Linked DNA regions of Xenopus tropicalis. The protein of the gene in region 1 purifies or fractionates together with the protein of each later gene. This does not show direct contact. Links are inferred from orthologs where the notes say so. Each region holds a gene or a part of one and is shown on either strand. Other genes may lie near its edges.

Region 1 (3,661 bases):
CTAGCTTTAGGAAAGCTTTGCAGATTGGTACTTTGGTGTAGAAAGGACTCTTTACCCATGTTAGATTTTTCAGAATGTGTACTTTCCAAAAATATAGAGTTTTTAGGGGTCACCCTACATTTCTGCAGCTTCTACCCCTCATAAAACTTCCATGTGTTTATAAATTAGGTAAAGGTAAGCCATAAAATTAGTGTGCACAAGGTATATTTGGGGGTCTCTAAGTGCCATGTGCTTTGATAAACCTATGTACAGTGGGCATCAAACTGTTCAGTGGACCCCTGGTGTTCATTTTTAGGGTGTTTTATCTTGGTACTTAATGCTATGTGGGAGATAAGATGCTGGAAACTGGAAGCTTTGAGTGGATTTTTGGAAATGTTATCAAAATTGCCAACTTTAGGAAAGCTTTGCTGCTTGGTACTTTGGAGTAGAAAGACATGGGTACCCATTTTAGATTCGGGGGAATGTGTACTTTCCAAAAATATATGACTTTCTGGGGTGAATGTACTTTTTACTAGCATTATCCCACATATAATTATGTAAATGTGTTGATTTTGCAGAAGCTGAAATGACAGAAATGATAGATCATATGGGGGTATGTTCACATTGGGGCCCCTACATGCCACATACTTAGGTAAACCTATACATATTGTGTATCAAACTGTTCAGTGGACCCCTGGCGTTCATATTTAGGGTGTTTTATTTGGTTACTTTATGACCTTTAGGAGATAAGATACTATAGACTGGAAGCTTTGAAGCGATTTTTAAAAAATTTCACAAATTTTGATAAAAACCAATAAATTTAGGAAAGCATTGCAACTTGATAGTTTGGAGTAGACAGACAGCTGTGCCTATTCTGGATTCCCCAGAATCTGTTCTGGGATGAACTTTGTTAGCGGAATTTTTGGCCTTAAAATCTTAAGTATGCAGCTTTCTGGAGCAGTGCTTTGGAAATCTGGTAGTGTACTGCTGGAGGTTTTTGACCTATACAAGTGAGAAATCTCCATAAAACTATATATATTTGGTATTGGCACGTTCAGGAGACATGGGACTTTCCAAATCAGGTGTATTTTCATGCATAAAATAATTTTTGTTTCTGGTATATGTGTTTATATTATGGAAAATATTTTTTTTCATTTTTTTAGACATTTAGAAGCCTATATCTTGTTACAAAATTGGAATTACACAAAAATTCTACCATATTTTAAAAGCTTAGGTTGTCCTGAAAAAACGATATATTGTTTTGTCCAAAACAGCTGGCAGTGAAAGGGTTAAAATACCAAGAAACCTTAAAGGGGCGGTTCACCTTATGTTATAGAATGCCCCATTCCCTAGCAAGTTTGCAATAGATCTTCATTATACTTTGTAGGTTTTGCCTTATTTGCCTTCCACTTCTACATCTTTTCAGATTTCAAACTGGGGTCACTGACTCCAGCAGCCAAAACACTATTGCTCCGAGACAATTTTACTATTGTTACTTTTTAATCCATATCCTTCATTTATACACTCTCCTATTTTTATTCCAGTCTCTTATTCAAGCCACTGCCTGGTTGCTAAGGTAAACAAGACCCTAGCAACCTGAGCACAAAGCCTGCAGCCAACTTACCATACAGGCTTCTCTGGCTGGATTAGCAGATGGATCCTTTTCCAGAACAGATTTATAGTCTGCCAGAGCTTCATCTAATTTATCAGTCTTCTCGTACAACTCTGCTCTTCTCAGCAATGCACGGATGTAGTCAGGATTAAGCTCTATTGCTGAAATTATACAGGAAAAGGCAGGGCCTAAGGTTACCTCAGTTCAGTTAGTTCATTTCTATTAAAGGCAAAGAACACCTCCCACCCCCTTCTTTGAGATGAGTTCATTCAGTCTCAAGTGCCAAAAAGAAATATACATATATTGCTTCAACATTCAGCAGATTTGGTGGGGGAGCCATGATAGTCTGCCTCTGACTTGCAGTGACTAAATTCTCAGCTCCACCTTAGGCCAAAGCTCCAGATAAGGCCAAATTTGATTTGGATGGTAAACTTTGATTGTCCTGTAGTTAATTTTCAACCTTATGCACATAATTAGTGACACCTTCATACAATTAAGAAACAATACTGAAAAAAAAAAAGTGTGGAAGTTAAATTTTACATATTAATATTTTCTTTTGGAATAATGAAACAGTCAGCCACGCTTTTTCTTAAAGGATACGTTACCTTTTTATTTTAAAATCCACAAAGAGACTCTAAATAGCTCCTGGAATAACATAACTTTCTCCCTGAATTCATAATCACGTTTGTTTCTAAATCATAAGCTAAAAACTGCAGCTCATTTCAGCTACTTTGTTGTCTAGTGTGAAGCTAAACCTCCTTTTCTTTACTGCCTCCTGCTCCAATGGAATTCAAATCAATCAGGCATGTGCAGCAGGCACCTCTATAACTATCTTCATACTCAAACAGAGAAAAAGAGCTCAGAAAAGGGGGCAGGGATCTACACTAGACTAGGTAGTAGCAGAAACTAACTGAAGTTTTCAGTTTGCGATTTAGAAATGACTTTAATGCAGGTAATGTTTTTCTGGGCACTATTGAGGACCATGGCCCATGGGGAGATTAGTCGCCTGCGGTTAATCCTGGCTGCAGCAGGCGACTAATCCTAAAATGCCTTCTCACCAGCGATTCACTTTTTTCACTTTTTCAGGTTCCTTCTGCAGGAAATGCTTTGCAACTGGGAAACCAGAAACAAAAAGTTTACATATTCTTTGAGTTTATTTCAAAACCTGGCAGACACTAAAGGAAACCTGTACCTTTTGAGCAGTCTTCTAATGCAAGATCATTCATGTTCTGTAAGAGAGAAACATATCAATGTCATTAGAAAAAGGGCATATTAAACATTAGACAGTAAATATTTTAGATAATATGCATATGTTGTCACACTAAAGCAAAGTAAAACCAGGTTTTGATCTTTAGCTCCAAAGGGATCACCAAAGCATTCTATATAGCGCTCTTTCCAGTTTTTCCCTAAAGAATGACTATAGTTTTCAAAGATTTTTTTCAGCATTTGATCCTGGGAAAGGTCTATACTTGCCCAGTATTTTTTTCCAGGCATTTATCCCTGAGGGAAATGTACCACTGCATTAAAGAAATGAGTTCTAGTAAACAGTCAGTGGTGAAATGAAGATAATAAATTTCACTTAGTTTAGTGTGGCCTAACTTGTTGCCATTGGTTCCTGGTGTGAAATAGATTCCCCACTAGGGAAAATAAACCAGCTTCGAGTACACAAATGGTGTAAAATCATTGCTATTATTTAATGTATAGGTCTTTTAGTGTATGCGATAATTAAAAAATGCCCTCATACATCTACCTGTCTCATTCTAGCAGCAGCCCTGTTCGAGAAAAGGATGGCGAGATCCTGGGAATAAAATGCCGGACACGTCTGAAGTGCTTGAGTGTATACAGTTTCAGCAGCAGGGTATTCTGGGACACAAAGCAGAGAGTATAATTACCTATATGCAGCTCAATTCTTATGCAGGTATCAGGTCTTTATAGAGGTGGTTTGCATTTAAATTAACTTTACGAATGTTATAGAATATTCCTTTCCTAGCAACTTTGCAATAAGTCATCATTTTTTTTTTTTTTTAATAGTTTTTTTTAATTGTTTGCCTTCCTCTGCTACATAATTCC
Region 2 (3,661 bases), on another chromosome or scaffold:
TAAGCTGTGCATGAGATATCTGGCAGATAACTCTGTAGGGGCCATTCAAATTATCCACAGATGAAATGTAACACTAAATTTTTTTAAGTAAAAAAGCTATTCTACCCTGCAAACCACTTAGTATTTTAAATGCTTTAATAGAAAATACCTGGTAAAACTTGGCTTCCTGTCAATTGAAGTACGGCGATACGGCGAAGGAAGCAGCTGAATCAACTATGTGACGATCGATTGATCGAGCCTAGCCTTCTTTCTGTATAGGAAGGAGTCAGGCTAGGCTTGATCAATCGATCGTCACATAGTGGATGCAGCTCCTTCCTTCGCCGTACTTCAATTGACAGGAAGCCAAGTTTTACCAGGTATTTTCTATTAAAGCATTTAAAATACTAAGTGGTTTGCAGGATAGGACAGTTATTGGTGCAGGGTAGAATAGCTTTTTTAGTGTTACTTTTCCTTTAAGAATGATAAATCAACACACATCTTTGTAAATGTGATCTGGGTGTGATGGGATGTTAGACTGTCAACTTCTGCATTCTGGTACGCAAGTGGGTCTAAAGAACCCTTAAAGCAATACTGTCATGGAAAAACATGTTTTACTTCAAAACGCATCAGTTAATAGAGCTTCTCCAGCAGAACCATGCATTGAAATTCATTTTTCAAAAATGCAAACAGGTTTTTTAAAATTTTATTTTGAAAAATTCACATGGGTATAGCCAAATTCTTCATTTCCCAGGGTGCTACAGCCATGTGACCTGTGCTCTAACTTCAGTCACTGCTGCGCTGCAAGTTAAGGTGGCCATACACTGGCCAATTCTAGCGGTCCTTTAAACCGACATGGCAGCTTTTGCGCCCGTGTATGGGAACAGATGGGCTCGCTAGACCAACATATAGCTTGAAATCAGCCAGATCTCAACCGGACAGGTTTGATTTTTCAGTCGAATTGGGGACCGCATTGGCTTGTTGATTCACCAAACCTACTGCTCCTATACCCACCGTTCTAATTCAATCGTCTGGCCCCTAAATTCAAAATCTTAATACTAAAAATGCAGCCAAAAAACTCCATCTTTGCCTAAGTTTTTTTTCTAATTTGTGCGGTCTCAGGATTTGTTTGTTGGTCATCCACCTGCCTACCAACAATTGTACAGCATAATTAATTTCTCAAGTTTGAATAATATTTTCAATGTGGCAAAATTCCTAAACCAGCTTGATGACCATTTCTTCCTAGGGATTAAATAGGGCCATCATTATCATTAACAGGAAAGTAAACTAAAAAGCTAAACAATCCAAAAACAAAGAAAAAAAATAACGATCCACATCGCATTAATATTATGGTGAAGCTATCTTAAAATGGAAATGTGCAAAATGATATACAGTGGTGTGAAAAACTATTTGCCCCCTTCCTGATTTCTTATTCTTTTGCATGTTTGTCACACAAAATGTTTCTGATCATCAAACACATTTAACTATTAGTCAAAGATAACACAAGTAAACACAAAATGCAGTTTTTAAATGAGGGTTTTTATTATTTAGGGAGAAAAATAATCCAAACCTACATGGCCCTGTGTGAAAAAGTAATTGCCCCCTGAACCTAATAACTGGTTGGGCCACCCTTAGCAGCAATAACTGCAATCAAGCATTTGCGATAACTTGCAACGAGTCCTTTACAGCGCTCTGGAGGAATTTTGGCCCACTCATCTTTGCAGAATTGTTGTAAGTCAGCTTTATTCGAGGGTTTTCTAGCATGAACCGCCTTTTTAAGGTCATGCCACAACATCTCAATAGGATTCAGGTCAGGACTTTGACTAGGCCACTCCAAAGTCTTCATTTTGTTTTTCTTCAGCCATTCAGAGGTGGATTTGCTGGTGTGTTTTGGGTCATTGTCCTGCTGCAGCACCCAAGATCGCTTCAGCTTGAGTTGACGAACAGATGGCCGGACATTCTCCTTCAGGATTTTTTGGTAGACAGTAGAATTCATGGTTCCATCTATCACAGCAAGCCTTCCAGGTCCTGAAGCAGCAAAACAACCCCAGACCATCACACTACCACCACCATATTTTACTGTTGGTATGATGTTCTTTTTCTGAAATGCTGTGTTACTTTTACGCCAGATGTAACAGGACACGCACCTTCCAAAAAGTTCAACTTTTGTCTCGTCGGTCCACAAGGTATTTTCCCAAAAGTCTTGGCAATCATTGAGATGTTTTTTAGCAAAATTGAGACGAGCCATAATGTTCTTTTTGCTTAAAAGTGGTTTGCGCCTTGGAAATCTGCCATGCAGGCCGTTTTTGCCCAGTCTCTTTCTTATGGTGGAGTCGTGAACACTGACCTTAATTGAGGCAAGAGAGGCCTGCAGTTCTTTAGATGTTGTCCTGGGGTCTTTTGTGGCCTCTCGGATGAGTTGTCTCTGCGCTCTTGGGGTAATTTTGGTCGGCCGGCCACTCCTGGGAAGGTTTACCACTGTTCCATGTTTTTGCCATTTGTGGATAATGGCTCTCACTGTGGTTCGCTGGAGTCCCAAAGCTTTAGAAATGGCTTTATAACCTTTACCAGACTGATAGATCTCAATTACTTTTGTTCTCATTTGTTCCTGAATTTCTTTGGATCTTGGCATGATGTCTAGCTTTTGAGGTGCTTTTGGGCTACTTCTCTGTGTCAGGTAGCTCCTATTTAAGTGATTTCTTGATTGAAACAGGTGTGGCAGTAATCAGGCCTGGGGGTGACTACAGAAATTGATATTGAAATTGAAAATTGAAATTGATAAACCACAGTTAAGTTATTTTTTAACAAGGGGGCAATTACTTTTTCACATAGGGCCATGTAGATTTGGAGTTTTTTTTCTCCCTTAATAACGTGAACCTTCATTTAAAAACTGCATTTTGTGTTCAATTATGTTATCTTTGACTAATAGTTAACGGTTTTTGATGAGCAGAAACATTTAAGTGTGACAAACATGCAAAAGAATAAGAAATCAGAAAGGGGGCAAATAGTTTTTCACACCACTGTATACACGTAAAAGTGGTCTCTGCATCATTTGTTGTTAGTACAGGTATGGGATCCCTTATCCGGAAACCCATTATCCAGAAAGCTCAGAATTACGGAAAGCCCATCTCCCATTGACTCTATTTTAATAAAATAATTCAGAATTCTAAAACCGATTTCCTTTTTCTCTGTAGAAATAAAACAGTACCTTGTAATTGATCCCAACTAAGATATAAATAATCCTTATTGGATGCAAAACAATCCTATTGGGTTTAATTAATGTTTTATTGGTTTCTTAGTTGACAAGGTATGGAGATCTAAATTATGGAAAGACCCCTAAATCTGGAATACCCCTGGTCCCGAACATTCTGGATAACGGGTCCTATATAGGAATACGAATAAGCAAAGATGTCAATTTTTAATTGTCAAGTACACCAACCTGAAACTGTGACTGTGGATCCAGGGTCTATGGTGCCACTGTTTGGTCGCACACAATAACGCCGAGGTGCTGTAGTTTTGACTTTAAAACATACTTTTTTATCTGATGGGTTCCGTAGTTTTAGGTTTGTTGTTACCACATCTGTAAATGGACCTGCAAAAAAAAAAAAAAAAAAAAAGTGCAACAAAATTAGCAATTGTGCTATCAATGTATTGCTTTATAAGCCATGCACTTATTTATATTACC

What was found. The genes of interacting proteins can lie anywhere in the genome.
Region 2: the proteins of ttc1 (region 1) and vapa purify together in Homo sapiens (affinity purification with mass spectrometry; 5 studies listed by BioGRID and IntAct, counting the BioPlex papers as one, with this or other methods). This does not show direct contact. The link is inferred for Xenopus tropicalis from reciprocal best matches to the Homo sapiens genes TTC1 and VAPA.

The regions. Positions count from the first base shown.
Region 1 is NC_030679.2:16,155,425-16,159,085, forward strand, and holds part of ttc1 (tetratricopeptide repeat protein 1), read right to left. Parts: intron 3,455-3,661; coding exon 3,342-3,454; intron 2,821-3,341; coding exon 2,784-2,820; intron 1,753-2,783; coding exon 1,604-1,752; intron 1-1,603.
Region 2 is NC_030682.2:104,685,122-104,688,782, reverse strand, and holds part of vapa (vesicle-associated membrane protein-associated protein A), read right to left. Parts: intron 3,569-3,661; coding exon 3,416-3,568; intron 1-3,415. UniProt on the Homo sapiens protein: Endoplasmic reticulum (ER)-anchored protein that mediates the formation of contact sites between the ER and endosomes via interaction with FFAT motif-containing proteins such as STARD3 or WDR44.